Linked DNA regions of Rattus norvegicus. Each later gene encodes a partner of the first gene's protein in a complex. Links are inferred from orthologs where the notes say so. Each region holds a gene or a part of one and is shown on either strand. Other genes may lie near its edges.

Region 1 (7,939 bases):
GCCACCACTGTGCCCCAGGGGTCAACCACCATGCTGTGGCCGTAACTTGCTCTTGTCTCATGGTGGCGTCCACACTGTGCTGCTGCTATCACGTAGCACTGAGACTCAATGGCGCGGGCCCGCAGCAGCACCTGAGGATGAGACGTGCGTACTCAGGAACATACAGCATTTAATAGGCGAGTGACAAGAAGCGGACACTGTGGGCCCAATCTACTCATTGACTATTGATCAACTAGAATTAGTAACTAACTATAACATGACTCACACCTATCTAAGAAACGAATTTCCTCACCAGATCGGAAGGGAAGAAAATCCTTCAAGTAGAAGGGGAGGGGTGTGTTTGTGTTTTGTATTTTTTTATATAAGGTCTCCTTGTATAACCTTGGTTGGCCTGGACCCACAGAGATCTGCCGGCCTCTGCCTTACAGTGCGGAGATAAAAAGCACACACCACCATGCACCACTATTTTGGGTGGTGTGGGTTACTTTTGTTTTGTTTTGTTTTGTTTTGTTTTGAGACGGTTTCTCTGTGTAGCCCTGGCTGTCCTGGAACCTACTCTGTAGACCAGGCTGGTCTTGAACTCAGATCCACTTGCTTCTGCCTCCTGAGGGCTGGGATTAAAGGTGTGCACCCCCACTGCCCAGCTTCTATTTTGTTTTCTGTTTTACTCGAGGCATCACTATGCTGGCTTTGAACCTGTGGCTATCCCCTGAAGTGCTTAGAGTTTAGGTTTGTGCTACTCTGTCCCCACTACTAAAAATAAGATTAAAGGAGGCCTATATGTTATGAAGAGGCATTCTCCTACCTCCCAGTGGGCTGGGCCGGTAACAGATCCAAAGGCTGAAGGATAAGTAAGTATTTCTGCCCCAGCTTGAGCCAATTTCAGAGAAAGTTCAGGGAACCGCATGTCATAACAGATTGCTAGACCAACCTGAAACGAGAAACAACCCACTCATCTTCCCTGTCCTGGTCAACGTAACATTGAATACTACCTCCATCATCCTACACCAAAGGGAGATGTTACAACTTTTTCAACATATTCCTATTTTCTTTTCAAACTCCTACCTTGCCTGCTGGTGTCTTGACAGGTGGTTCAAGAGCGTATCCAGGCATGGTATAGTTGCTTTCTCTCATAGGCCCCTGACCTGGGATCTCTACATCACATAGATGTGTCTTCCTGTAACTGGCCACTACTGATCCTAAAGTAAGAGAAAATGCTCAGTACAGACACTGGAAGTCCAGCTTAGCTCTTCTCCCAAAGAGTAATTTTTAGGCTAAGAACAGAAGCATTCAAAACAAAACAAAAAAACCCCTAAAGCCAAGCAGTTGAGAAAAATGCTGAAGATCTGAGTTGGAAGAAGGTAGATGAGCCTAGGAAGAGGCAAGCTGAAGGACTGTGAAGTCTCACCCTTGCTGTTCAGAAGCACATGACAATTGTAGATTTTCTGAGTCTGCTCCCAGTCTTGGCCACGCTCGTGGAAACCACCCAAGGACAGCCAGATTCCACATTCCCTGAGGGGGAGGGACACTGACAACTCTACCCCCTCTATGTGGCAATCCAGGAACACTGCCCAACAGGGATTCTACCCCTCCCCACCCCCACCCTACCCTTGTACCTGGCAAGCTGGCTATATTGTCCCAAAAGGTCCCCATCCAGTGGTTCGGACAGGAGTAATGTCTCGGCAGGATTTCGTGCAATAAAGTCAAATGCCTCAGGCAGAAAGGCCAGGCAAGCGCCCAGTCTGGTAGCCTCTTGAACCAGCTCAGCACACGTTTTAAAGTTCTCTTGCTTGTTTGGTGTTGATGTTACCTGGCACACAGCCACCAGGGGCAGCTCCCAGGAAGTCGATGAGGACTCTGCCATGGCTCTGGGCCTGTGAATGACACAGGCAGTTTTCTCAGGATTTCTACCGCGTGCCGCGGAGAAACTTGGGAGGCTCAAGTGGGGGTGGAGCCGGAAACTTACTTTTTTTTTTTCTGATTTTACCTCCCCTTTGAGACCGGGTCTTTTTGTAGCCCAGGCAGACCTTTCTATGTAGCGGGGATGATCTTAAACTCCTAGTTGATCCTCCTGCCTGTTTCCCGAGTGCTGGGATTAGAGGTGTGTCCCACCAACCCTAGCGACTTGTTTTCATTCTTCCAGAGCATTAAATAACCCTAAGCTACTGGAGTACACGCATTAAATGTTTGGTGGATGGCAGGTCCACTATTCGGTTAATAAACATGGACTTAGCAACTACGTGCTAGACAAAGAACATAAAATATGTTACCTGGGCTGAGTACAAAGTACTGAGATTTGAGGTAATCGGTATCCGGTACACAGAAGGGACAGGAGTTGATGAGGAGGCCTGGTGATGAAGCCCAGCCTGAAGAAGGTGAAAAATCAGGACACCTAACCCTCCTTCAAGCTGTAAGTTTCTAGAATTCTCTGCCATTTCCAGACCTGGCCAGTAATCCCCTCCCCCAAGGCTTCGAAAACACTTTACTACTAGTAGTTATGAGATCATAAAATGGGAAAATGGAAGAGGACACTATGATCGGTGCCTTAATACCTCAACTTCCAGTGATCTCACATTAAAACTGAAGCCCTTTTCCTCTGCCAAACGTTTCCGCAGTTCAAGTCATCTCATGGAACCTTCCTCGTTTCCCCAATTCTCTCTTCTCGGCTGTGCCACCTGGACAGCTTTATAGACTCAACATGTATCTTTCCCCTTGTACCAGAATCTCAGAAGGAAAGTTCACCCTCCTTAGATCTCCACCATTCTCGTGGTGGGTAGGTAGATGGGTACAAGATCAGATCCCAACCCGAGCCCCCGCCCTCTGATTAGCGCGTCCTTCCCCGGCTCTCCCCGGGGCAAGAATCTCTGTTGCACAAGTTAAAGCATAGCAGGTGGAATTCACCGCAGCAGGCAGGGTTGGGGAGTAGGTCCTACATGAAGACACAGCCAAAACCATTCGCAGGGTCGGATCTGAAGAGCTGCCAGAAGCCAGAAGCGCAGGAGCAAGTGGGCGGTAACCACTAGAGCGGATGTGACGCAGTGGGAGTGCGCAGGCCGGAAAGCTTGCAGGTGGGGAAGATGGCGGACAGCAGCGGTCGTGTGGGCAAGAGCGGCGGGAGTGGCACGGGGAAGGGGGCGGTGTCGGCGGAACAGGTGAGGAACCGCGAGCGTAGAAGGCACCTGGGTCGGTGTCGAGTTCGTGCAAGGAAAAGGACTTGTGATTCAGAGGGGCCTTTAGTCCTTCCCACGTTCTCCGTGGTCACGCACAGGGGAGAGGGCGTTTTTGGGGGTGATCACAATCCTTTCTAGGGCGTGAGTAGGTGGGGTAGGTAGGTGAGAGGCACGCCCGGGGTGTGGGTGGGTAGTCGAGAGAGAAAGCTCTTAGATGCAGGATCTGGGAGGGTTGTCCAGGTCCCTAAGGACATGGATCGTCGTCTCCCCCTCTACGAGGTACCCTAAAGAGAATATGGTGTTTGAAGTGTCATCTAGTAACGAATCCCAGGCTGTTCTTAGTCAGTGAGTGGGTTATTTAGTCTTTGACTCCAAAACCGTGTTCACCATCACAAACACGCTGCAGAGCCACGTGACTCAGACTCTGACCAGTTTAGTGTTCAGTAACTATTTGGACTAAGGAGACTGTGGCTTAGTTATTTTCTTGTTTTGTTTTGTTTTTGTTTTGTCTTGGGGTGGGGATGAGGGTTGCTATAGGGTCGGGCTGGGTCGCTCTATGTAGCCTTGCTTTTCTGGAATTCACTATGTAGACCAAGCTGGCCTGGAACTCACAGAGATTCGCTTGTTTCTGCCTCCCAAATACTGGGATTATCTGGGACTACTATTCCTGGCTCGGGTTGTTTTCGTTTTTTGAGACATGGTCCAGCTCACTCTCTATGCTCCCTTCTGCAGAGACTTAAGTTTTCAGAAGAGGCTAGAAACCATTTTCTAATGCAGGTGTGATTCTGCTCTTCATAACATCGGGATACATCTGACGAATTAATCAGAAAGCCCTTTGTGGTATAGGGACCATGTTTTGTTAGTCTTGGGACTAGTGTTTAATTGATATTAGAAGAACACACAATTGGGGTTGGGGATTTAGTTTAGCTCAGTGGTAGAGCGCTTGCCTAGGAAGCGCAAGGCCCTGGGTTCGGTCCCCAGCTCCGAAAAAAAGAACCAAAAAAAAAAAAAAAAAAGAAGAAGAAGAACACACAATCGAAATGAAAATAGTTGAAGCTAGGGGTGTAGTTTGGTGGGTTAAATGGGAAAGCCTTGAGGTGTGGGGTCTGGGTGGGTGTCTGTTCTCACCTGGTATGGAGGTCCAGGGTTGGGATTGAAGAGCTATTTTAATCATATATTTGTCAGTTGCTTGTTGAGCAATCACTGCAGGTAAAAGTATCAGCATAGGGACTGGAGTGGTGGCTCAGCCGTTAAGAGCACTGACTGCTCTTCCATGGGTCCTGGGTTCAAATCCCAGAAACCACATGGTGACTCCCAACCATCTGTAATGAGATCTGATGCCTTCTGGTGTGTCTGAGGATAGCTACAGTGTACTTATATATAATAAATAAATACATCTTTAAAAAAAAGTATCAGCAGAAATAGTTTAAAACCCATACTGTTGGAGAGCATCGTCTGTTGAAGTGGGGTTTACAGTTCTACTATGAGTCGGAAAGTAAGTATTCAAAGAGAAGTGACATTCTGGGGATGGAAGAGGCACCTTGACAGTGGGAAAGAAAAAAAGTAAAGCTTTTGAGAGTCTGTCTTGTGTTATACTTTGCTTAACACAGAGAAACAGGTAAGTGAAATAGACTTTATCTTAAATTTGGACACAGCCAAGTGTGATGGCTCATACCCATAATCCCAATGGGTTACCCTCTCAGTTCCAGGCTAGCCTAGGTTACAGAGTGAAACACAATCTCAAAAACAAACAAGACAGACAGAATGGCAAATAAAAATGAAACAACGAGACTTCAAAAATATGTTATGTATATTTGCATGTCTGAGTGTGTGCATGTACCACACCTGTGCAGGAGCCATTGGAGGCCAGAAGAGGGGTCCAAGCCCCTGATAACTGCTTATTAGCTACCATGTGGGTCTTGAGAACCAAACCCAGGCCTTCTGCTATAGAAGTAACAGTTCTTCCACCGAGCCATTGCTCCAGTCCTTACACCAAAAACTTCTGCACATGATTTCTCTTCTTACTTTTTACCCTCCTCTATCTGTGAAAACATGTACTTCCCATTTCATAACTATTTAGTGTACTAGGCAAGAAAATTCATTCGACACCCTCCCCCCCCATCACCATGACTAAAAAACAGAGACTACAGAGTGTGTTGACTAAATGCTAGTTAGGGGTGGAGAGATGGCTTCTGCACTTGAGCACCTCATCTCACACAAACACATACATACATGCACATGATCTGAACAATCTTTCTAAATGCTAATTTGTTTTTATTTTCTAGAGGATTCTTCAGCTTAATTCTAAAGGCTGAGGAAAGTTAGTCAATGTGAGGATTTTTTTTTTTCGTTAGAAGAAATGTGTTCATAAGCCTTGAGCCATGAACTGCCCGGCCTTGGAAATGCTGGAAGATTTAAAAGAGCTGTATTGCAAGACTTGAAGAAGACACAGTCAGCCTTGTTGTTCTTTGACACAAGTTTTTTTCATGTGGCCTAGAACTCACCAGCCAGGCTAGGATGGCTGGCCAGAGAGTCCATTGACCCTCTCTTCCCCAGCACTTGGATAACAAGCCTCAGAATTTAAGTTCCCTAGCATTCCATTGCCAGGCAGTTCATGCCTCAATACCATACCTCCCCCACCCCCCAAGTTCTCAAACTCTGGTTCTTTGGTTCTTTACCTGTGGAACTTTTCTTCCCAATTTAAGTGTTTGTCACTGATACAAATTCAAGCCTGATGTGACTTTCACAAGGAAGATAGGAGCAGGTCATACTTTCTACTAGGCCCTTGTTTTATTTTCGGTTTATCCTATTTCTATTTATTGTTTATTGGTTTGCTGCTGTTTTATCTGAGAGAGGATCTCCCTCTGTAGCCCTGGCTAGCCTGGAACTTGCTATGTAGACCATGCTAGTCTAGGGCTTGTGGCATTCTTCCTGCTTTGATCTCCCAGGTGTACCACAGCACTTGGAGGAGTGAGTGCGCGCGCGTGTGCGCGTGCATGTGCGCGTGTGCGCGTGCATGTGTGCGTGTGCATGTGTGCGCATGTGCCAGCCAGCCACCCACATGCGTGCCTGGTGACCTTGGACTGTGGGGGTCAGAGCATTGGATCCTCTGGAGTTAGAGACAGTGATAGTTATGGGTTTCCATGTAGGTGCAGAGCCACAAGTGCTGCTGAGCCATCTCTTTAGCTCCCCCAAATCGAGACACATAAACATTATGTACACACATATAATAATGAACTAAACAACTGAAAAGCCCTGCTGCAAAGTAGATTGTGATGTACACGCCTGTAAGAGATCCCCTGTATTTGGGGGAGAGGTAGAGAGGCAGGATTAGGAGTTCAAGTTCGGGGTTGGGGATTTAGCTCAGTGGTAGAGCGCTTGCCTAGCAACCGCAAGGCCCTGGGTTCAGTCCCCAGCTCCGGGAAAAAAAAAAAAAAAAAAAAAAAAAAAGAAAAAAGGAGTTCAAGTTCATCCTCAACTAAATAGCATATTTGAGGCCAGTGTGAATCTCAAAAAGACAAGAAAATTCCTGTCACTTGTCAAAGTTCAACAGGTGTTTCGAAGAGGACAGAGCCTACTCAAACACTGCTTTATACCCCTTACCCTCCAAACTCATGACCTTATAATGTAAAATACAATCATTCTGTCCCAGTAGTCCCCAGAGTCTTACATTGTTCCAGTACTAACTCAAAATTCCAGGGTCAGTTGTGAGCCTGTGCAATGAGAGTAGCATATGCACGTTCATCATGTAATGCAGAGGCAGGCAGAGGGTAGACATTCCCGTTCTAAAGGAGAGAAGTAAAGCCAGGAGGAGGCTTTACTGTTAAAGCCTTAAGTCTGAATTCCGAGAGGGCAGGCATGGTCTTACCGTTCTATGATAAATTATCCCTATATATGGCATTTGGAAACTCTGGGGCAGGAATTGGGCCTCTAAAATACTAGACAGCTCCACAGGGCACAGTCCATGCTTCATGCACTTGGGCTGGGGGCATACCAGTGCCTGCAGCTTGCCCGGTTAGGCACTGTCCACTGACAGTTGCTGTACTATTAGAGATCATGGTGGCTGCCTGGCCTAGGGCTTGTTCCAGTGAGGATTCCCCGACAGCTCCCATTCCTACATCAGGGTTTTCCTTGCACCCCTGTTTAACCTCCCACAGTCCAGTGCATCTTGTGAAGTTTTGGTAGAGGAAGCCATTTCTCCACAGCTCTTGCATTCTGCATGCCTCCAGAATTAGCACCACGAGGCATAGATACTACCACAGGTTACTGCTAGTAATGCTTTCTCCAGCTGCAGTACAAGCTGTACTTGAATAAATAATGGAGCATGCTGGGATGTGAGGAGCAGAGGCTAGGTATACTGGGCTGTGAGTTCTTTCTGCCCTTAAGACCCTAGCTTTTGGTTCCATGATTGGAAAGACAGCCAGGGTCTCCAAAATGCCTTCGGAACGTTTTTTGTCATTGTATGGTAAATAGTAACACTCAGCTTTCTCTGTCAGTGCTAATTTGTGCACTTGCTTGGTAAACCTCTTTGGGGGGGGGCAGGTTGGGAAGGGAGGGAAACAGGTTTGCATTTATTTATTTTGTGTTTGTGGAAATGCCACAATGCTCATGTGGTGGCCAAAGGACAATTTGCAGCAGCTGTTCTCTTCTTCCACCTTGTCCATCCTGGGATCAAACTCAGGTAGCCAAGATTGGCTGCAAAGTCCCCTTACCAGTTGAGCCATCTTACTGGCCACTGTCTTGACCTATTTCCACTTTGTACATAGACA
Region 2 (7,915 bases), on another chromosome or scaffold:
TGAATATCAGTCATATAAGCTACTGGAGAGTGTACACTAGAACCTTTAGTACATTGCCAAGAACAAGTGTAGGTTAGCATGACATCATGAAGTTCTTAGGAACTGCAGACATTGGACATTTCAAAGGTTTTACAGGTTTTACCTCTAGGAACCCTACAATATAAAAGTCAAAAGAAAGTCTTCTCTTTTCAAGGTTCTGGCTAAGGAGATCACTATGAAATCTATCCAGATTCACTTCTTATAGAAAAGATTTAGTCTCCATGGAAAAATGAGCCAAAACCGACATCTGCAAACACTGGATAGATTTTACTACAAGTAGATAAAAGGAAGAATGGGCAGTATCAAGCTTTACCTTTTATCCTCAACACTGATACACAGCGCCTGTCAAAGACAGAGCTTAATCAGAATACCAAAGATGACCCTCACTACAAACACGACCACTTCACTACCAATCAAAAGAAACTGAAATATGGTGGGAGAAGAAGAGAAATTGTGTCTGTAAATAGGAACAAAGGGAGAGTCCAAAGCCAAGTAGAAAGATAAAAACTATATACCACCAGGAAAATCTAAAACTAAGGTTGCCTATAGCAAAAAAAAAAAATACCAAACCCAGATCAATTCCTGACTAGATAAAAATCTCCACACAAAAGACCCAGGAAGACGAACCATCTATCATCTATGCCTAAAAGATAATTTGCCTCATTATCTATAAGCAGAAAGACCTAGAGACTCCACTAAATGACTATTAGAACTGACAAAAATTTCACCAAAGTAGCAGAAAAGTAAAATCAATATTCAAAAATTAGTGGATTGTTTTCTATATACCAATAATGAATTTGCTGAAATAGAAATCATGAAATCAACCCCATTCACACTAGCTAGAGAGAGAGAGAGAGAGAGAGAGAGAGAGAGAGAGAGAGAGAGAGACGAGAGTATCTCATATCAGTTTCTTCCAGGAAATAACATTTTACTCCAGATGAGAGGGTACCAATAGGCCAACAGGATCCTGTCTGAGTGCAGTTTGGTGAATAAAAATTAATTTATTGTGATTATTTGTTGGCGCATGGGTGACACAAAGTGTTACACAACTGAGAAATCCAGAGCAACTCATAGGCAGCTATCCCGCTGACTAATCCCACCTGCAGCATGGACAACTCACAAAAAGCTGGAGCACTGGAGAGTCTCATTTATAGCATGGCTGACTCAGATGAAGCTATGCCACCTCAGTTGCCAAAAAAAAAAAAAAATACGTAGGGGAAGCTATACTACCAAAAATTTCCACCCCAGTCCACTTCTTTCCCTTGAGGAAAGGAAGGTCTTTGACCCTATGACCTCACAAACCTCTCTACTCTCTTAACAAAGAATATATTAATAGGCTGGATCCTGAGTCTCATGAGGGTTTCATGTGGATTTTGAAAGCACGAGCCACATAAGCCTCCCTTCTACTTCCATGAGGAACTGTTAATAGGCCTGATCTCATAAAGTGATCACATCTGCTCTTATTCAAAACAGCAATGGTTATGCCCAACACAGTGTAAGAAGTGAGACAACGCTCCCTTTCTGCAGCTTTCACATTCTTTCCATCCCATCTTCTACAGTGTTCTCCAAGACTTAGAATAATATAAGTGATTATTCTTTTCTACCACCTTGAGCAGCTATACCACAGCAACAGAAACATTCCTTGCAGTTCGACAAGTTATGAATGTTCTATAGTAACTACCTCCCATTGTAAGAAAGAAGTGTGCTTTCTCTATGTCAGGGAACAGCAGTAATCTACAAGCCACCCCACAGATTGAACTCAGGCTGTCAAGACTTGCTAGCCTGAACCTTTTAACCAGTAAGTCATTTTGATAACCTAAAAGAATCTTTTAAGTAAAAAAAAAATACACGAAATACAAGTTAATAGACTTAACACAGACTCAACGCTAGTCCATCCAAACTGTTCTCCTTAATAAAGATTAACTAATATTTTATAGCTCCCTAATACCTGTTTTAAGCACACCAAATTGAATTTTAAATATATGTAGCACGAAATTTTGGTTTTGGTTTTGGTTTGGGGGACAAGGTATCAAGCAGAAATTCATTTAAGATGATTTTCTTAAAATTTGTCTCTGTTTAAACATTTTTATGTGCCCTTTGGAGGGTGAAAACCAAACTATGTGTGTAATACACACACACACACACACAGAGAGAGAGAGAGAGAGAGAGAGAGAGAGAGAGAGAGAGAGAGAGAGAGAGAGCGCGAGCCACAAGATATCCTGCCTTCCTTATAGATTAGTACCATAATACTTGCTGGTCTATAGGCACTCTTGTGCTTTTTAAATTATTAAATGCTTAAGTGGTCTCAGTGAGGTTTTTGTTTGTTTGGTTTTGATTTGGTCTTTTGTTTTAAAGAGAATATGAAATTGGAAGGGGAATGTGGTAGGAAGGGTCTAGGACGAGTTGGAGGGAATAGGGAGTGGAGATAATGAAAATATATTGCATACATCTATGAAATTCTCAAAGACTAGAAATGTTTCTAAAAGAAAAAAGTAGGGACTATATGGATACCTCAGTAGTTAAGAGCATTGGCCATTCGATCCCAGCATCCACATGGTGCACACAAACTGCCAGTAGTTCCAATTCCAGGGAATCCCACAACTTCTTCTACCCTTTGTGGGCACTGCACACATGTGGTGCATAAACATGCAAACAAAACACATAAAATAGGAAGGAATTTAAGAGTGGGGAGGGAGGAATACAGAAATGGTTCATCAGTTAAGAACACACAACTCTTGCAGAGAATGTGAACTCCATTATCAGCACCCACATCACGGTAGCTCACAACTGCTCTCACACACACTTCAAAGAAATTATAAACACTTAACTCCCTCTCCCTACCTTCCTGTAAGTCCACCTTTCCTCAGAACCCGCCAAAACTCATTAAACGTCACCCAAACCAGTCTCCCGCCAGCTCGCGACTATTTATTTGCCTGCAGGCCAACAGCGTGACCCTGCTACCTCCAGGGACTCATTCAGGCCCCGCCTGCAGCTCTTCCCTTAAATGCGTCTTCTCGCACGAAGGGCAGCCCCGCCCCATCGATTATGGTTGGCTCTGGTGCTGGAAATGCGTCATCCATCCGCGCCAGCCGGAAGCCGCGGTTCGTTATAACAGTTATTGCTGGTGGCCCCTAGGTGAACGTCGCGGTTGCGTATCGGTGAGTGAACTAGTCCTAAAGTAGGGTTGGGCAGAAGGAACTCCATAGCACGAGTCGAAAGAAGTCGTGCACAATATGAGAACTTTGTGAAGTTAAACTGGAGCGCTCAACGTGGGTCCTCCCCCTTCAATCCCCAGGAGCACATAATGGCGACGCCCCCGAAACGGCGGGCCTTGGATACGGTGGGGGAGAAAGTGCTGCGGTATGAGGCCTTTATCAGTGACGTACTGCAGCGAGACTTGCAGTGAGTGGCAACGCGGGAGGCGTGACGTTTGAGAAATTCGACGTGGTGGGTGGGATTGAATGCGGCCAAACTTTCGGGTTGGCCAACCAGATTTCTGGGAAGAAGGTTGACTTCTGGGCTGAGATTTGGTTGGAACTTATCCCTTTAGCAGAGCTCCGACCATGTTTGTTGGTTTAAAATAGTCATTCCGAACCTAATGTGTTTCTAACTAAGCCATTTAATTAATATTTATGAACAAGTTGTACCTTACTTTGCCTCTCTAGGCTTTATGAACTTCGTTCATCTGTGAAATGGAAAAGTTTATTAGGCCTTTTTAACGTGGTGTTTGAGTTTTAAATGTGTCAACTCCAACACATTCTGCCACAGGAGGGAGAAGCAAGAGGATCTTTGTAAGCTGGAGACCAAACTGGGCTACAGACTGTCTCAAAGGGGGAAAAGTAGAATAAAGCCAGGCTCAGGCTCCATGGTGTGTGCCATCTCTAGTGGAGAGATGGGGAAATTCACGTTTTTAGCCAGGATTACAAGCCAGCCTTGAAATATATAACAATATTTTATTTAAAAAAAAAAAACTAGTGTGGTGACAGAGGCCTGCAATCCCTGTACTTGGGATGGTATCAGAAGCAGGATAATCCAGAGTTCAGGGTAACCTTCACTTACATTTCGAGGTTGTGTATGGCCTGGGCTCTGATATTATGTCTCAAAACAAGCAAATTAGGGCCAGCAAGATGGCTTGCCTCCAACACCATGCCCTAACGTAGATCTCTAGGAGCCACATGATGGAAGGAAAAAGATTCCCAAAAAGCTTCCAGGTGTATCATGGCACCTATACATGCACACAAAATAAACACATGTTTAATGCAGATAAACCCAACTACTATTATATTGAGGCTGAGAGGAGAGGATTGTTTGGTGTGATTACAAATTCAATACCAGCGTGAGAAACTCAGATATTGTCTCTGGAAATAACCTGGATAACTTTTATGAAAAAGGAATTTGCCTCCAGTGCCTGAAATACACTAAAAGCTCAACAACTAGATGATTACTATTGCTGTCATTACTAATCTGAATAAAAAGTTAGGTATTGAGAACTAGGGCTGTGTAATCATGCTAAAAGAAACGGGGAGGTATATTTAGGGTGAAGATGGGACATTTTAATTGGCATAAGTCACTGAGTAAAATGCAATATTTATCATTGTAATAGGTTCTAAGTATATAATGCTTACCATTTGGCTAGCATTTAAAACACTTTGTAGTAGACACTTGATTCTAATGACTCCTATATGCTAATACTACCATCTCTATTTTCTATGTGGGGAAACTTAATCCCAAACAGGTTTCCTACTTTCCATAGTCACATTACTAGCAAGAGGTAGAGGTCAGGATGAAGTACAGTCTCACCTATATTTATTGAAATGCCGGCTGTGTCCTTATCTATGCCCCATCATGAGTGTTTGGGGGAGCAGGCACAGGGTCTCACTATGTTACACAAGCTGGTCTTGAGCTCATAATCCTCCTGCCTCAGCCCATGGATTGCATCCATGAACAACCCCATCTGGCTTAAAATGCCTAGTAGGGCATGATGTGCTGCATCTCAAAAGGAGTAAGACTGCCTAATATTCACTGTTGTATTTCTACGTATCAGAAAGGTACTGGACCATCGAGACAAGGTATATGAGCAGCTGTCTGTATACCTTCAACTAAGAAATGTCATTGAGCGACTCCAGGTAAAGGCTTTTAAATTGGGTGCCACTTTGTGTATATGTACAAAGAAGGGAGGCGGGAAGAGAACCCCCAGAACAAAACCTTTATCTGCCTTAAAAGTTGGCCACTGACACCTACCTCTTTTCTCCTGGCCCTATAGGAAACTAATCACTCGGAGTTATATATGCAGGTGGATTTGGGCTGTAACTTCTTCGTTGACACAATGGTGTGAGTGTATTCTCTCCCCTCTAAATTTCTCCCTTTTTTCATGGAACAAGTATTTCTTAGTATTTTCTGTATACCAGGCTTTAGTAGCTTTTATATTACATTAAGATATAAGCAACATGTTGTGGTCGTGGGAGAAATGAACACAAAATATCTGCCCTTACAGAGCCTTCACTTGGGGAATAGGAAGGAATAGGAAACACCTTAAACTATATACAGTATGCTAAATGGTAATAAAGACTTCTTCCACTTCCTCCGACCTCTTTCCTCAGCCCAGATACTTCACGCATCTATGTGGCCCTGGGATACGGTTTTTTCCTGGAACTGACACTGGCCGAAGCTCTCAAGTTCATTGACCGAAAGAGTTCCCTCCTCACAGAGTGAGTTCATTCCAGGAGGATAGTATCTAAAGGCTAAGGGTGCAGGGAAGTGGTAAGAACATTTGCTTAGCATGTGTGAAGCCCTAGGTTCTATCCGTATCACACACCACACAAACACATACACAAAATATATAAAAGTCAGATACGGCAGTAGTTCATACCTGTAATCCTACGACTCTAGAAGATCAAGCAGGAGGATCCTGATTTTGAAGCCACTCTGGGTGATAAAACAAATCCCTCTATATAAAACAACAGAAAAAAATAATAAATAGACATCATAAATTTCAATACTCTACCCTTTTCCCCGTAGCTACCTGGGATGGTACTTTAAAAAAAAAAAACATACTACCTTCCTCTTCAGGGCTAGAGCTAAAAAAAATGAGGATGCAAAGTTCAGCCACGGAGTCATACTAAACACTTAATAAGTAGTTTTTGTACTATTCCTTCACACATTTATTGAGCATCTTGTGTATGCCAGGTTGTGTTGTTAGTATTGGGAATACAGCAGTAAACAAAACAGAAGATTCTTAGAGGCTTACATTCTAGAACTATGTTGTTATATGTACATATATCTAGGTCCACATCCATGAGATTTTAATCTAAGAATCAGTACCAGTCAAAGAAGCTGCTTCTCACTTAACTATCTGTTAATTTTTCGGCTCATTTGCCCTCTGAACTTAATATGCATGTACCCACACATGCAGAGATAATGCCTTCCTCTATTGCTGTCTGCCTTATTTATTTATTATTTATTTCTTTTGAAACAGGGTCTCCACCAAACCTAAAGTTTGCCATTTTTTGACTTCAACCCCAAACCTAGAGTTTACAATTTTCTGGCTTCAGCAAGCACCAGTGCTGGGGTCAGAGGTGTGTGAGTTTTTACATAGGTACTAGGAATCCAACTCCAGTTCTTATGCTTGAGCAGCAAATGTTCTTGTCCACTGAGCCATCTCCCCAGCCCTAACACATGCTTTAAGTATTTCCCACCTTTAAGAGCATTCAGTAGCTACTGTGTAGTTTCTTTTTTCGACACTTAGTTGTCTTGCATAAATAACAAGCTCCCTAACAAGTTCTTCTGTGACCTAACTTCAAAATTGCAACTCCTAGTGTTCTTAAATTGCCCCTCTTCTACTTTAAAAAAATTACCATTAGTGTGTATATTGCATGACTGTGGGCATTGTGTTGTAGCATGCATGTGTAGATTACAGCACAGTTTTGCGAGTTGATGTTCTCCTTCCAGGGATTCCATGAATAGAACTCAGATCCCCAGGCTTATATGACAAGCACCCTTACCCACTGAGCCATTGCACCAGCCATATCCTAGTTTTTCTCTCTTTCTATAATCTTATTACCTCTTAAAATTTACTGTGAAATTTCTTTCTCATGCTCATTGTCTTTTACAATTAGATAATAAGTATTACATTTCTTTACAGGGTTGAGACTTGTAGCCAAGGTCTCCGGTCTAGTAAGCAAGAGTTCTATTACTGAACTGTGTGTCCCTAGCCCAGGTTATAGGCATTTAAAGGAAAAAGTTTATACTATAGATAACTAAAATAATGTAAAGCACAGTTTCTGTTGAGTGAATTATGCTAGAAGCAAATTGAAAGGATGATCAAACTTATCTATGTGGGTAATGGTGAGGAGAAAAAGTGTGGGCTCCAGGTTACTTTTGGTTTTATATAGGGAAGAACTGGTTTGGATGAGAAGCTTGAAATATAGATAGTGCTATAACTAAAGAGATGGCTCAGCAGTGAAGAACATTTATTACTCATTACAGGAGACCCAGGTTCTATTTCCAGAGCCTGCATAGCAGTTCTCAACCTTGTGTAATTCCAGTGCCAGGAGAGCTGACTCCCTCTCCTGGCCTCTGAGCACCAAACACAAGTGCTATACAAACATACATGCAGGCAAAAAATCCATACGCATAAAATAAGTAGGTAGTGAAGGCCACATAGAAGACCTCAACTCCCACTCTCAGATGAGTGACATTTGAGTCAGTTTATTGGGTGAACAAGCCATGGGCTAACTGGGGAAGAATGTTCTTGACAAAAGGGACAATGTATCTGGCATGCTTGAAAATTGTCACGTGGCATAGCTTAGAAAAAATGAGTATGAGAGAGCAGGGAACAGTATACTTAGATAAATAACCACTTCTGAGCATGAACACC
Region 3 (7,777 bases), on another chromosome or scaffold:
CAGGGTCTCACCATATTGACCTGACTGGCCCAGAAAACCCTGCTTTCTAGGATACCTTTGAAATTTCAGAGTGCTGAAATTAAAGGCACAAGCTACCAAGCCCAGCCCAGGTTACATGAGCTCTTGATAATCATAGAACAAAACAAAGGCAAAATTCACCCCATTTATTAAATATGTTGGTGGAGGCTGCGGTCAGACAAGGAATGGCAAAATGGGGGAAGTTGTTACAGGTTTTAGACGCTATCTGCTGACCTTCTTAGCAGTTGGGTGGTGTGAGATCTACTGATCTACGTAAAATATATTTCAAAGGTTTTTACCTCATAGGAAAAAAAAAGTCACAGGTGTGGGCAACAAACGGCTAGAAAGGGGAATAAAGACAGCACAGGATAATTCAGTTCTGAATCTGCAACATTTCAACTCTTTGCAATCACAAAGTTTGGATCAGTCCATCGATTTTTCAGAGTAGGTGTGACCTCTCTCTCTGGTAACTTCATTCACAAAATCCATTTCAAGAAGCTAATGCTCAGAAAGGGATGTTGAGAGAGCAGAGAGAGAGAGAGAGAGAGAGAGAGAGAGAGAGAGAGAGAGAGAGAGAGAGAGAGAGATACAGAGGTGGGGACACACAGCACAGAAGAGAGAGGACGTGACCTGACAGGTGGAGACACATCATGACTGCAGTAACAAAGGAACTGGGAGAAAATCAAACCAGGCTGAGGGCCACTGTGTGCAAATGTCCTGAGGATCCTCACCGCCCCTCGGTCCAGTGACCTTCTCTTATGTGGATGGATGCAGCAGCCCCACATGAGAAGCATCAATGTCGACCCCACAGAGAAGTAAAGATGTGGGCGATGAGTCACTCATTCCTCCCTCCTTTCTAGGGCTTCATTCCATTGCCAACCTTACCTGGTACTTGCTGCTGGCCTTGCCTCAGTGAGCAGAGACAAGTCACAGGTCTGGGCAGCAGGGACTGCAGTCTGCAGGCAATGGCCAAGGAGGGCCTTGTGGGTGAGGATATGGCACTGACACCTCCTTTTCCCCAGCTATTTATATCCAGTGGCTCCTTTGCCTCTCTGGCTTCATCTCCCACCTTTCTCCCTCGCCCATTCTATTACATGTGCATTAGCCTCACTGCTGCTCACCTCAGGGTCATTGTGCCTGCTGCGTCCTCTACCTACAGTGCTACCTCACCCCATCCAGGTACCCTCATGTCTCACCCCTTACCTCCTCCACAGTTTTGTTCCAATGCCACCTCTTCGGAGAAGCCTTCTCTAACCACCTATCCCAAATGGCTCCTGTATCTCTCCCTGTCCACCTTGCATTGCTGGGGACCTGGCAACACGCATCTACGTTTGATCCAGGATGCATTTGGTTATATCCCTGTCGATGGTCCACTCCCCTGCCTCCACAGCCTAAAGGCAGGTATCACACCGGCTTTGCTCACAGTAGACTCATGAATCTCTGAGCCTGGGAAATTGCTACATTTTCATGACACGAATAGTTAGGTAATGTCAGAGATGTCCCAGAGTCCACAATCTGCTCATTTTGACTCTTGGAGATGAGTATGACCTTCCCTGCAATATCCAGTGACCAGATGTGGCCCCCGAGGGCCAGTCAGAGCCAAGAAATTTAACATGGAACCTTCCTTAACTTCTCTCCATTCAGGCCCACCCAGCAGGGGTCAGGGGTGTCAGTTTTTCCAGCCATCTTTGGCCCCAAGGTGGAGAGAGGATACAGGACTAGGGTCCAGACCCCAGGGATTCCTGGAAGACTCATTTTTCCTTTGGCAAATACCCCCACTTCCTTCACAGGGCCTGTGCCTGCGTTTCTGAACCAGAAGGTGTTTACACAAAACATCCTGGGTTTGGCGACAAATTCACCCTCTATGAGGAATCCTTAATGACGCTTCCTCCATCCCCACACCAGGCAGCTGCAGAGAAAACTGTCTCAGTCTCTAGGAATTGAAGGAAGCCCAAAGCCAGACAAGACGGAGGTGTTTCTGGGCTTCGTGAGCCACAGTTTGTCAGTGTCCGTCAACAGTTGTGAGACAGAGACCAGCACCCTCCACCCTGGGGATCTGTGCCCTTGTCCCAGCCTCAGCCTGCAGCTGTATAACTAAACAGTCGTAATCCGGTCTCTACAAAAGTGGCCATGAAATTCAAGTGAGGCCAAGAATATGAATGGGCTAAGTTACCCAGAGTCAAAAAAGGAGACTAAAAAATGGATGTCAGAGTTGAGTCTTAGGGCTGGGGAGGTGGCTTAGTGAGTGAGGAGTGTTCACTTTACACTCAGAATGAGGATCTGAGTTTGAATCCCAAACACCTACAGAAAAATCCAGACATGGTTGTGTGGGCCTGTCACTTCAGCATTGGGGAGCAAACAGCCACAGGCAGATCCAGAGAGCCCCAAGTCTAGGCTGCCTAACCCAAAAGAGCTTCCGTTTCAACGAGAGGCTCTATTTCATGACAATAAGGTGGAGAATGTCAAAGGAAGACACCTGTCACCCTGCTCTGGCCTCTGCTTGTCTCTGCAGGGGCACAGAGTACCCTTATATGCATGCACCACACACATACACTCACACAAAAGAAAACAGATGAGATATAGCTCAGGTGTAGCGCTTGAGAGGCACTGGGGTAATTCCAGTTCCACACACGGAAAAACAAGAGGATGGGTGAGGTAGCCCGCCTCTAAGCCTCCAGCTTTGCAAATGTACAGTAAGAGATTGGGGGACCCCTCTGGTTCTGTCGGGCAGTCATCACCCTCCCACCCCCACCCCCCGGAAGTCCAGGATCCTAATTCACTCTTCAGATCTTACTGACACTTCATTGCTCACCCTGGACAGTTTCCAGCTCCTTCTGTGAATCTTGGCTTGCTACTGTGGACATTAGATTCAACAAACGCTGCAACCAGATGTAATTTAAAATGATTTCTGCTTCCTTTCTGTCTTCCGTGGTGGTGGGGGCGGGGGGGGGAGACAGGAAAGACAGAGACAGAGACAGAGAGACAGAGAGAGTCAGTGCGGGGAATTTCTATACCCATTATTTACAAACTGGAAGCTGAAAGTGTCGCGGGTTAAAATATGAGTCTCTTTGCCACACTCAGTTTCTTGGCGATGTTAAACTGGACTTTATGATCTCTGTGTCTCCAAAGCCATTATCGCTACCTCCCATAATGTGTAATTATTTTGCTGTCAGTGTTTGCTGTTTTCCAATGGAATGACGTTCCTAGAGCCGGGATGCTTCTTTTGCAGCCGCCTTCCCGACACCCAACCTGGTTTATGGTGGATGCCCAGGAACCCTTTGAAGGGAGGGGAAAGGGCAGTGCGTTGGGCTGCTCGATCAGAGCCTGCAGGGGGCGCATCTTCCCTGCTCCCAAAGCCTGACCCTCCCCTCTGGAGCCCAGCTGAGGCGCATGTTCTTTTCACTGCGCAGGCTTGCCGGAAGTCCCAGAACGGCGCGTGCGCGGAAGGAGCTGGGGTGAAGTAGTAGTGCGAGTGTCGGAAGAGGTCTGTGGCACCATGGTGTCCCCCGAGGCGGATCGAGTGCTGCGGTACCTGGTCGAAGTGGAGGAGCTGGCAGAGGCAGTGCTCTCAGACAAGCGGCAGGTGAGAGACGCGGCGGCCGCGAGCGCCCTACGCAAGTGCGCGGCGTCGCAGGGTGATCACCGGGCCTCCCGGCGTCACTGCTCCTAGCGGCCTGGTGCCTAGTGAGCGCCAGTCAGTTCTGTATTGGGCAGTTGCCTTCCTTTCACCCTGCCCCGTCATTGCTGGTCCCCCGGATCCCTGACACCACTTTCCAAACGCAGTCCCAGGCCCATCTTGAATCAGGTTGTTGAGACATGGGCAGGATGTGTCTGGGCAGTACACTGATGTGCGTGTGCGTGTGCGTGGGGGGCGGCGGCTTGGTTGAAGGCTTCGTAGACCCGAAAGGGGTGCTTGGCTCTGGTTCTGTGGTAAGTAGTCCCTAAAGGGAGTTCGTCCTGGGGATGTTATCATTGAATAGTGACTGATAGATTGATCGGTTGGTTTAGACTAAACTTTAGAGGATCTCATGTATCTCAGACTTCTCGAACTCACTGTGTCGCCTAAGACAGCCTTGAACAACCCGTGGTATGTCCTTGTCAGTGTCCTGAGTTCTGGGATTACAGGTGTGCATTTAGATTTTAAAAGTCTCTCTCTGGCTCCTTCCTAGAGTGCAGCGAGCCATTTAGCTGATCCAGATGATCTGGATTTAGACAAGATGGGAATGATGGGGTGAGACATATACTTGGTGGTCTTCAGAAGCTACCATAATGACCGTAATGACTCTTCGTGATCTATATTTGAAAAGGCTTGATGGTTCACTAGCTGCAGCCCCAGAAAGTCGCCTCTTGAGCAGTTAGTTGTCATAGTGGTACGGTGCAACAGCTGCTCCAGTCCAGTATGGTTGAATGTCTGGTGAGACTGTCAGAGTTACTTAACAAGAGCTTGTCAATAGTCACTGTCTAGAGGAGACACTCAACTAACTCCCTGGTGACCCCGGTATACTCTCAAGTTTGAGTGGATGATACAAAGTGGCTCAATCTGCAAACATTTTCCCACCACCTTCTGTGGAGGAGGAAAGCTCCATACAAACAGAGGAGCTGGAAACCAAGTGGGTAAAGAAGAACGTTCACACCTGAGTCGTCCATGTCAGGCAAGACATTGGAACTTCACCAGAAACGATACCTTGTTTCTTCAGATTGGGGCAGGAGGCAGCTGAGTTCCCATCTGCTCCTGTTTTCAGATTGTAGACCTGGACACCAAGAGGAATCAGAACCGAGAGGGCCTGAGGGCCCTACAGAAAGACCCGAGTGTCTCTGGTAAGTTGTGGCATCCTTACTGAAGCCCTGGAAGCTGGTTCAGGGACTTCATTATCCCTGGTAAAGACCAGCCAGGCAGGAGGCTGGGACTGTGTGACTCACCCTCATGGGGAACTAAGACAGCTTGTGGAGAAGAGCAAGCCAGTGTTGCAGGTCAGACATATGCTGTGACTCAGAATTTAGCTGCTCACTTCAGCGACAGGCCATTAGCTCATCACTCACTGACGGCAGATACAGAGAGTGCTCACGGCACATAAAAAGCAATAGTTCTGCCCTTATGTTCCACATGAGGAAAAGCAGCATAGACACATAACTGAAAATGGTGAGAGGCCATGGGTGGGTATTGAGGCCAGGTGGCTGTGGCTGGTGGTAGCAAGCAGAGGTCTGACATGAAGCAGTTCTGGAAAGGAGGGCAGCATCCAGGCCATAGTGAAGGCTGACATGTAGGGCTTCCACTGGCTTATCTCACCTGAGTGAAACCCAGAGCTGTCCTGCAGGACTCCCCATGACCCAGCCCCACACCCCTATTAGCCCTGACTCTCCTGCTCACTCACTGGTCCCTTGGTTGTTAGCCTGGCTCTGTTTTCCCACATGTCTGTAAGTGTAGTGTCCTCCCTTTCCTCAGTTCTGTGCCTGAATGTCACATCTACATAGAAGTCTCATACCAACTTTCAACACATCAGTCCTCTGACAATTCCCAGCTCTTTAAACAGCTTTTGTTGTTGTTGTTGGGTTTTTTGTCTGTCTGTTTAATTAACTGGTCCTTTTGCCACACTCTGGGCTCTTCCACCCTTCTCCCCCAACTTTTCCACCTTTTCAACCCCCAACACTAGATAAGAGAGAAAAAAGGATGAAGAAAAGAGATCCTTGAATAAAGTCAGGGGGGTTGGAAAGGGGGCACCTAGCGTTATTACACCCTCTCAAAAGCCCTCAGAATTCCAAACATCACACACTCGAAGAAACTATCTGCAGCTGGCAAAATCATGCCAGAGCATGAGGCAAACCACAGTCAGCTGCTGTGCTCAGTCTCTCTGAGCTCCCCATATCCCACACCTGGGATTATAAGGAAGACATAATTCTTACAGGATTTCTGTGTTTGTTTATTTGTTTGTTTTTAAAGAAACAAAAATGCCAAAACTGCCACTACAGGTTTCCATGCTAGTTCTTAAGCGGTGTGTGGAAAACAGCTTCGCTCACTCCCCATCTTTTGCTATGACGTGATTTCCACGAGAGCATGAACTGTCTTGTTCTGCTATGTTCTTAGCATCTGAACAGTGCCTGTCAGATGATAGGTGCTTCAAAAGGGAAAAACAAAACATGAAGAAATGTCTGTTTGCTGTTTCAGAAGACGTGATGGTTTGCTTTGGGAACATGTTCATCAAAATGCCTCACCTTAAGACGAAGGAAATGATCCAGAAAGGTAAGGTGTCCTGAAGAGGGGTCAAGGACATGGCTACCTTCCCCCCAGTCTGAATCATAATCCAGCACTGAGAACCAAAACTGTATTAGGCTGGGGAAAGGCAAAGGGCTTCTTCCATATGGGCCTTTGCTTTCTGTTTGAAAATAAGGCCACTCTCTGCCAGAATCTCATTGGTCAAGGCCATCCGTAGCTGTGAAGGGTCATGGATAAGTGAAGTTTTGCATGAGCCTGTGTGTCTGTGTGTTTGTGGCGTGTGTCTGCCTGTGTGTGTGTGTGTGTATTGCAATGAGTATGCAGAGGTCAGAATAGGGTGTCAGGTTCCCCCTTTAGCCCGTTCCACTTTACTTCCTCCCTCAAATTAAGTGAGGTCTCCCAACCTCTTTGGCTACCTTGGCTGGTCAGCAAGCTCTCTGCATCTGCCTGTCTCTGTCCCCTAGTGCAGGGATAATAGGTACACTGAGCATGTGTGACTTTTAACATCGGTACTGGAGATGCAGGCCTCACACTTGCAGAGCAAGCACTTACTGACTGAACCATCGCCCCAGTGCCCGAGTGAGCTTTTATTTTTCATGTCCCCTGCAGCTGAGACTGTGCTGAAAGTGAAGGTGTGACTGGGTACATAGCTAGAGGTAGAGCATTTTCCTAGCCTGTGTAAAGCCCTGGGTATAATTACTGCAAGAAAATGGAGTATAGAAAGAGCAAGATTGCCTCTATAGTCTGAGCAGCTTGTGTAAGCAAAGTACTGCTCAGGTCTCAAACCGTGAACAACTGGGATCTCCTCAGAGAAGCTCTGTAAAGAGAAGCCTGGGAAAAGACAGATACACTTGTTTCTCTTTTACATCCTCAAAAACACATGGATCAAAAGGACCAGTAAGGTTGCCTTTCCTGAAGACAGGATATGTTTATACTTTTGGGAACTGGAACAAACCTGCAGAAATTTCAGCTATTAAATTACGGTAGTGTGGCTAAAATGAAGGGTTGGGTTGGAAAGGTGGCTCATTGAGTACAGTGCTCTTCTGAGACCAGGGCTCAGTTCCAATCACCACATAGTAGGTCACAACTGGTGTGACTTCAATTCCAGGGGATCCAACACCTTTTTCTGACCTCTTGGCACCAGGCATGGCATAGTGCACAAACATATATGCAGGCAAAACACACAGACACATAATAATACATGTAAAGAATTATTTTAAAATTAAGGGTCAATGTGCTTGGGTAATGGGCAAAGACTGTACAGCTAAAAACTTAGGGGTCACTGCCTGAGTTCAGGATTCGGTGTTGTGTCCTGCTGACCCACAGATGTTGTCTAATCTCTTATCTATGAGGGTTCTAGTTTTCTCCCAAATCAATATAGACTGAACAAGTTCATAAACAGTTTCTTATTTATAATCAAGAAATCAATTACCAAAGCTGTGAGGCATGGCTAGTCAGGGCCTTTCTTCTTTAGGAAGTGGGAGCAGACAGGCAGCGGATAGCCAGTAGAATGTCCCTCATAGCATAGTTGGCTGATAAGCTTTGAAG
Region 4 (7,176 bases), on another chromosome or scaffold:
CGCAGGAGTATTACTTGAACTAGAAGTTTGAGGCCAGCCTGAGCAACGCAGTGAACTCTTGTCTCAAAACAACAAAACAATCACAAAAGCCAGGTCGTGGTGGCACATGCCATATCCCAGCCCTTGAAAGGCAGAGGCAGGAAGATCTCTGACAGTTTGGAGCCAGCCTTATCAAAAAGCAAACACAGGTTTAAATCTAAATACGGAGCAGCACGCAGCAGTACATGCTTGGGAAGGCGGCTAGCCTGGGCTCCGGCCTGCAGCGTTTACAATCAAAGACAAGCAGCAACACTGACAAGGTCAGAATGCACTATGAGTATATTAACACAGGTCACAGTTATCAGACTTATATGAAATAATCGTGCAATGGCACAACTATTTTCTAGAAAAGAAACACTGCAAAATGCAGTGTGAGGGGTTTTTTTTTTTTTAGGTTATCACTTTGAGGCTTAGCTCTATTAATGGAATTTGGTACTAAACTAGGCCAATATTACCAATTAAACAGAAAAATATTATAATAATAGTAAATACTTTCAACACTCCGTAATCCATGCCCACTCTAGGAGCTTTAGTGACTTACTTCATTGGCTTTTCAACGCTATTAGCCATGCTGTACATAGCCATGCTGTACGTACAGTAACTTCCCCCGGCCACACAGTAACTAGCACGGTGAAGACGCAAACCCTGGCCTGAGATTGCCTAAGACCATGATGCCGGCCTAGACAAACCTCAGGAGTCTACAGAGCGGCTACCGGAGACTGCCTGTCATTTCCTGAGCCACGATGAACCTGAAACGAGGTTTCTTGTTGACAACTTACCAAATGCCACAGTCCAGCAGTCTCTCTTGTTTTCTCCTTGTGCGGGTTCCATGTTAGCGACAGGATCCTCTTTTTGCCTCGGGTCCCACACCTTTACAGTTCCTGTCATGGATAAAAGGGAGTGGGCAAAATTCAATGGTGACTGATCGATCATATTTCCTGTTTATGTTCTCTTTCTACAGTTATCTGTACACGTGACAATAATTGTTACAACATCTGAAAACTGTTCAGAGTGGTTAAGTTGTCCTTGATACCAGACATAACCCCATGTTAGTATTAGAATTGATTCCTAAACTAATAGCTATACAGAGAAAACCCAAAAAGTATTCCTAGGTTATCTGTAAGTGATGATAGGCACATCAAATATAAGTGCACAATTCAAAACATGCCTTATTGTCTGGGTTAGCACCAAATACATACAAACACATTTAGAATAGTGAGAGTATCATTTTAACTTTACTTTTCTTACTACACATAGAACCATTGGTTCTTTTCTTATACAGAAGAATAAGCGCTGTCAACACACTTTTGTATGGGGTTTTAAAATGCCATTCCATTGTAGGGAGGCAGCTCATGGCAGAGTGACCAGCATGCACGAGGTCCAGTTTCACTTGTTGACCCAGAAGAAGAAACAATCAATCGCACCTCTTTCAGATGTGATCGAGCTCAACTTTCCTGCATAAGTTAACGAGGAGGAAACTATCAATAAAATTAACTTAAATCAATTCATACTATAGGATTACTAACTAGATTACTAGTGTCACAGCCTACAGTCAACATGATTGCATGTAATGAGGTGGCTAAAAGGCCTACATCTGAGCAAGAGTAGGGAAGGGAAAAAATATCCCCAAAAGAGACCAGGGATAGAGCTGGTCATCAGAAAGGCTGCAATCTCTGTGGAGGGACTCCCACAAATCTGACAGCGATTACCATCTCAGCTGTGGGGTTATACAAGTCACTAAGATCTTAGTAAGTTTCCCACACTTGACATAGCAAAGAACGTAAAGACAATTCAAAACGCAGAATTAATCAACGCTCAGGCACTGACACTAGCGTACATGGAAACGGAGGACAGTTTCTAATCTACGACCTTACAGGAGGAAAGAGCAATGTTAGCCACTCGTAGTCTCTTGTCCACTACAGCTGGCCAGGGAAATGGGTACTATGGTTTATTTAGAAATACATTTTATGGGGTTGGGGATTTAGCTCAGTGGTAGAGCGCTTGCCTAGGAAGCGCAAGGCCCTGGGTTCGGTCCCCAGCTCCGAAAAAAAAAGAACCAAAAAAAAAAAAAAAAAAGAAATACATTTTATAAGTCATAAAATATCCCCAAGGACTTACATATTCAACTACAACCACTTCTTCAAAGCTTCAAGCCACTGTCCTAAGACTACCCAGAAAACATGGAGCACACTGATTGGGTATTACAGAAGCATAGTTTAGCATGCTGTTATAGCCACACGATGGCATGTTACAGCCATTAAAGTAAGAGTTATGGAAGCAGAAGCGTCTGCATCTGCGAACTGTAAGGTACGATGGAGAAGCACAGCGCTGTGGCGGCATGATGGACTGCCTGCCATCTTCCCTTGTGTTTCACATGGCTCCTGTGAAATGGTAATTCTAACACACCTCTGCTCTCCAGAAACTACTAGAAGATTATATTTTGTTTTTCTTTTACGGTAACCTTTTAAAAGCAACTAATATATCTCCATGTGAGACAACAAAGCCCAGGTCCATGTAGTCATCCAGACCTGGTCTGTTGGTCCCTAAGGCCAGTGCTGGGAACTCAGACACATCCCAGAATACGTCTTCAGGTACCTGTCAACCTGACATCGTGCTAAGGACTAACTCTGCTTTTTAGAAAGAGTATGAGAAGCCGCCACACACATCACATCACTGGCTGCTTCAGAAACCTGTGAAGACATTGTAAGCCATTCAAATCAGCTCATGCCTAGGTGTTGAACTAAGTCCACACTAACCTATTCAGCGCTGGGTTTCCATCTGAAAATACACAGAAGCCTGCAAGGAACTGGGGACGCACAGTGAAACCTGTCCCTTAAAATGCAGATGCACAAACGGCAGCTACACAGTCAGACCAACAAGACGATTCCACGGCAGAGCGTATGGCAATGCACAAAGGTGCCCGCCCACTACACCTTTGTTCAGTACTTAAGCTGACTCACCATCTCGGCTGCCCGTCACGATTTCCGGGGCTCCTTCCCCAATTCCAAGTCCACCTATACCATCTATGGTATTTATGATTTCTTTGTGCCCCTTTACAGAATACACCGGAATCTCTGGAGCTTCCAAATTCCTAAGCAAAAAAACACAACTACTTATCACATGCCCTAAAAACCAATTCAAAGTAAAATAAATAAAAAAACCCCAGACAATTCAAGCTGGAGGAAGACTTTAACGTAAGAGAGAGGCTCTGAAAAAGCTTGAGGAGAACACAAGTAAAACACTTGGTGATAGGAGCTCAGTGAGGAGTCTCGGAAACAGACTCAACAGCACCGGAAATGGGCCCATCAAGGCATGAGTGGTTAAGGTTAACACAATGAGAGGTTATCCAGCCATGAAGAAAAATGGAACAAGGATATTTGTAAGAAGGGGGCCAGTTGTTATGTTAAGCAAATAAGCCAGAATTGGGAAAACAAATGCCATGTTTCCTCTTATGCATAGAAAATAAATTTAAAACTGTACACACATACACATGTGTATATATATGTGTGTATATAGGTCAAGCCTGACGACCTGCACTGACTTCCAGATCATACAAGGTGTGAAGTGAAAACAGTCCCATAAGTCATCTTCCACACATGCACACACAGAGACACAGATACAGACACACAGACAGAAGGACATTTGCTCTCTACTAGTGCATGTGCATTTACAGAGAGACACTGACACTCAGACAGAAGGACATTTGTTCTCCACTAGGGCATGTACATGAACACACACAGACACAGATACAGACACACAGAAGGACACACACACACACACACACACACTAAATAAAATGTGAAAATAATTTAAACAACAAAAACAACAAAACAAAACTTAAATAGGGTCAGAGGGAGTGGGCAATGGAACAAACACAGTAAGGATGTATTTAGTCTGAGTGTGGGGATACCTTTAACCTTAGCACTCAGGAGGGCGAGACAGACAGATCTCCGTGAGTTACAGGACAGCCTGATCTACACTGTGAGCTCCAGGGCGGCCAGGGCCATGTAGAGAGACCCTGTCTCAAAACAGACAGACAGACAGACAGACAGACAAACGTGGCTCTATCCGGCAGGAAGAGAACCGCAATCAGGCAGCAGGCACACAAGTACAAGCAGAAGTAGAGGGAAACGAGTATGACCAAAGCATATCGATACATACATATGCATATATACATATACAGTTAAAATAATGAACATCTACTAGTCTGTATGATAAGCCCCCAAAACAATGAAAAATAAATAAAATACAGAAAGTAAGACACTGGCCTCTCCTTCCATTTTTCTGAAGCTCTATGACAAAGTATGTAAAATGATGAATAAATATGAACTTAATAGCAGGAGTCAGAAGAAGGAAAATTGCACTAGCTTTTAGAGCAAGGAGTTACACTAGCTTCACTTTTATGTTACGTTTCTAAAATCAGGTAGATGTGAACACGGTTTAACTATGAAGCAGTACAATACAAATGACAACCAAAACGGGTTGCCACAAGCCCTAGGCTGGCACCCTCCTCCAGTTTCATCCTGAGTTCTAAGCTGGCCTGGTCTACATAGTAATACACAGTGCGTCCCAGTCCAGCCAGTGGTACATGGGAACCCTGTCACCAAAACAAACAGCTCATAGGTGAAATGAGCAGCTAAGAAAGAAACAAAGAAAGAGAGCTGCTGTATACTTTAAATGCAGAAAATAGATTTTTCCACAAAGTAATTAAAGAGAAATTTGAATTCATTTAACTTTAAATATTAAGAAACAATTCTAAGTAAGATTTATATAAAGGCAACGGACAATTCTGTGATTTTGTTCAAAGCAGGCTTTTACTGAGTTGTTCAATAGACATTTTCCTAGAAGTCGTGTCTAGATCATAAAGTATTAAATACTAACCAAAACTTTAACTGGGAGTTCTGCATGGAAAAAATTAAAATCAGTGCATCGCTCTAAAAAGTCAAAACTCTTACTAAAATGGCATTAATTAATTGCCAGTCCCAAATACCCTGTGGGCAGGTAAGAACCGGTAACACTGTTTCAAGTTCTAAACCAAAGAGCTCGGCATCTTTCTAAACCTCTGACCTTTACCTTTTGAGGTCATAGTATAATTATATCATCCCCCCACCAAGCCCTCCCACAGATCCCTCCTTTCTCTTCCACATTGGGCCTGTTTGTTCACTGCTATTACATGCATATACATACACAAACATATAACGTTATACATACATATTCCTGAATGTAATATGAAGGTGAGGATTTTAGGTAAACATTGAATGTGACATAGAGGAATAACGCAGTCCTCATGGCTTCAGTTTTGGAAGGAATTAAAATATCTGAAGTAAGTATTTTAAAGTTAGAACTCTCTTTCAGAAGACTAAAAGCCTATCGAACAGAGTACTTATCCCACTGGAGTACTGTTTAACGATCTCACCAGATATGAAGATTCCCATCAAAATCTCCAGTAGCCAAGAATCTCTGCTGCAAAGATGCGGCCCCAAATGTCCCACATTTAATGGGCTTAGCCTTTTCAATCTGGACAGAAAGGAGAGAGGACACTTTACTTATGTAAACACTTATTTATAACCACAACACTGACAGCTTTGCTGTGGGGGTTATAAACGCATTATACATAAAAGCAATAAAACGTTTTCTACAGACATTATACTCTTTCTTTAGTTAATTTTGTATAATTTAAAAAGCATATCATTGTCAAAAGATAGGTTTTTGTTTCAAGACAGGGTCTTTCATAAAACCTTGGTTGTCCTTAAACTCTGAGCTCTTAGGTCCCTGTGTAAGTAGGGTTTATTTATTTTTACTTCATGTGTATGGGTGTTTTGCTGTCATGTAGGTGTATGCAGTGCCCACATAATCTAGAAGAGAGCATTGGATTGGAGCCCCTGGAACTGGTGGTGGCCATGTGTGCTGGGAATCAAACCCAGGCTTTCTGGACAGCAGTCAGGGACCTCGGATCTCACTCTCCAGTTTCTGAGACAAGGTTTCTCATTTTGTTGCCTAAATCAGACATGATTCCAACTGGTCTAAAACCCAGAGATCATAGGATTACGGGAGTGGGAGACAGAAGGAGAGAAAGGTGGAAAGGGAAGAAGAGAGACAGAGAAAGAATCATCTTCTGAAGCACCCAAATGCTGCCTCCTTAACCCCGTGTGGTGGCTCACCCCTGTAGCCAGCACTTCAGGTACAGAAGCAGAAGGGCAGCTGTGAGTTCCAGGTCAGGCAAGGCTACACGGTGAAGTTCAGGCCACACTAGGCTACAAAGAGGTTTTTAATCTTCCCTCTCATAATCCTGAAAGGGCTTGCATTTCTGCTGGTGTGTAGGTAAAAGAGGTGCTACCTCGCAGCAGAAATGCAATCACAATGGAGACATTGTTTTCTGAAGGCACAGGAACAAAGATGTCCAGGAGCCTCTCGTAGTCCTGTCTATAGAACCTGGTAGGTAGGCAGTCAATGCTCTCTGACTGAGGGCATAAGGAGGCCTCCCTTAGCCCTTCAGCACCAGTTCTTGGGACAGACAGCAAAGCCAGCAGCACAGCACTCTCCCCACTCCGCCCTTTTCATCCCCTGGATTTTACCTGCTGTGCCTCCAATGGTGTTTGGTGCCATTTGCAAAAGATTATGCAAACTGTTTACATATACTGAGCACGTGATAACATGCAGCATCGTTCCACAGGATTTTCCAGATGTGTGTGTGGGGGGTGGGTGGGAGGGGAAGCACATCCGTGCAGAAGTCAGAAGCGGACTTCAGGTATCCTCTATCACTCTCTCCGCTATTCCTCTGAGACAGGGTTTCTCAGTGTCTCTGTCTTCCACAGTGCACGAGTCAGAGGTGAGCAGAAGTGCCTGGCTTTTTATATGGCTGCCACAGATTAAAACTCAGTCTTCATGCTTGCACGGCAAGCAGCCCCTCAACCATGCGCCGCTGCCCCACAGATACCATTCTCAAAATGAGAACTTATGTCTCTTACATATATCCCAATTGTCAGGCAGACTTCTAGCTCTTCATACAAAGGGAAGCTGCTTCCAGGCCAGTAAGAGATTCCAAGAAGCAGTTTATTACACAGCCCTATTCTGCAAGCCCGAATCAATAGAAACATTAAAAAAAGAAAGTCCGAAGCATGAAAAAAGTAGGAGAGA

Evidence for each region.
Region 2: Pfdn2 (region 1) and Uxt share a complex: the UniProt entries of both Homo sapiens proteins name them as parts of the PAQosome complex. The link is inferred for Rattus norvegicus from reciprocal best matches to the Homo sapiens genes PFDN2 and UXT.
Region 3: Pfdn2 (region 1) and Pdrg1 share a complex: the UniProt entries of both Homo sapiens proteins name them as parts of the PAQosome complex. The link is inferred for Rattus norvegicus from reciprocal best matches to the Homo sapiens genes PFDN2 and PDRG1.
Region 4: Pfdn2 (region 1) and Dnaaf10 share a complex: the UniProt entries of both Homo sapiens proteins name them as parts of the PAQosome complex. The link is inferred for Rattus norvegicus from reciprocal best matches to the Homo sapiens genes PFDN2 and DNAAF10.

What each region holds. Positions count from the first base shown.
Region 1 is NC_086031.1:86,302,761-86,310,699, forward strand, and holds the start of Pfdn2 (prefoldin subunit 2), read left to right. Parts: upstream 1-3,067; 5' UTR 3,068-3,077; coding exon 3,078-3,152; intron 3,153-7,939. Other genes in the region: Nit1 (deaminated glutathione amidase), read right to left, coding at 1-131, 806-931, 1,066-1,199, 1,409-1,512, 1,617-1,874, 2,271-2,366, 2,934-2,935. UniProt on the Homo sapiens protein: Binds specifically to cytosolic chaperonin (c-CPN) and transfers target proteins to it. Binds to nascent polypeptide chain and promotes folding in an environment in which there are many competing pathways for nonnative proteins.
Region 2 is NC_086039.1:3,676,567-3,684,481, forward strand, and holds the start of Uxt (protein UXT), read left to right. Parts: upstream 1-3,337; 5' UTR 3,338-3,343; coding exon 3,344-3,441; exon of another isoform or gene 3,442-3,486; intron 3,487-5,083; coding exon 5,084-5,165; intron 5,166-5,302; coding exon 5,303-5,370; intron 5,371-5,639; coding exon 5,640-5,747; intron 5,748-7,915. UniProt on the Homo sapiens protein: Involved in gene transcription regulation. Acts in concert with the corepressor URI1 to regulate androgen receptor AR-mediated transcription. Together with URI1, associates with chromatin to the NKX3-1 promoter region.
Region 3 is NC_086021.1:161,939,686-161,947,462, reverse strand, and holds the start of Pdrg1 (p53 and DNA damage-regulated protein 1), read left to right. Parts: upstream 1-3,481; 5' UTR 3,482-3,514; coding exon 3,515-3,601; intron 3,602-4,760; coding exon 4,761-4,836; intron 4,837-6,181; coding exon 6,182-6,256; intron 6,257-7,777. UniProt on the Homo sapiens protein: May play a role in chaperone-mediated protein folding.
Region 4 is NC_086032.1:95,824,588-95,831,763, reverse strand, and holds part of Dnaaf10 (dynein axonemal assembly factor 10), read right to left. Parts: intron 5,557-7,176; coding exon 5,456-5,556; intron 3,131-5,455; coding exon 3,000-3,130; intron 1,494-2,999; coding exon of another isoform or gene 1,464-1,493; intron 921-1,463; coding exon 819-920; intron 1-818. UniProt on the Homo sapiens protein: Key assembly factor specifically required for the stability of axonemal dynein heavy chains in cytoplasm.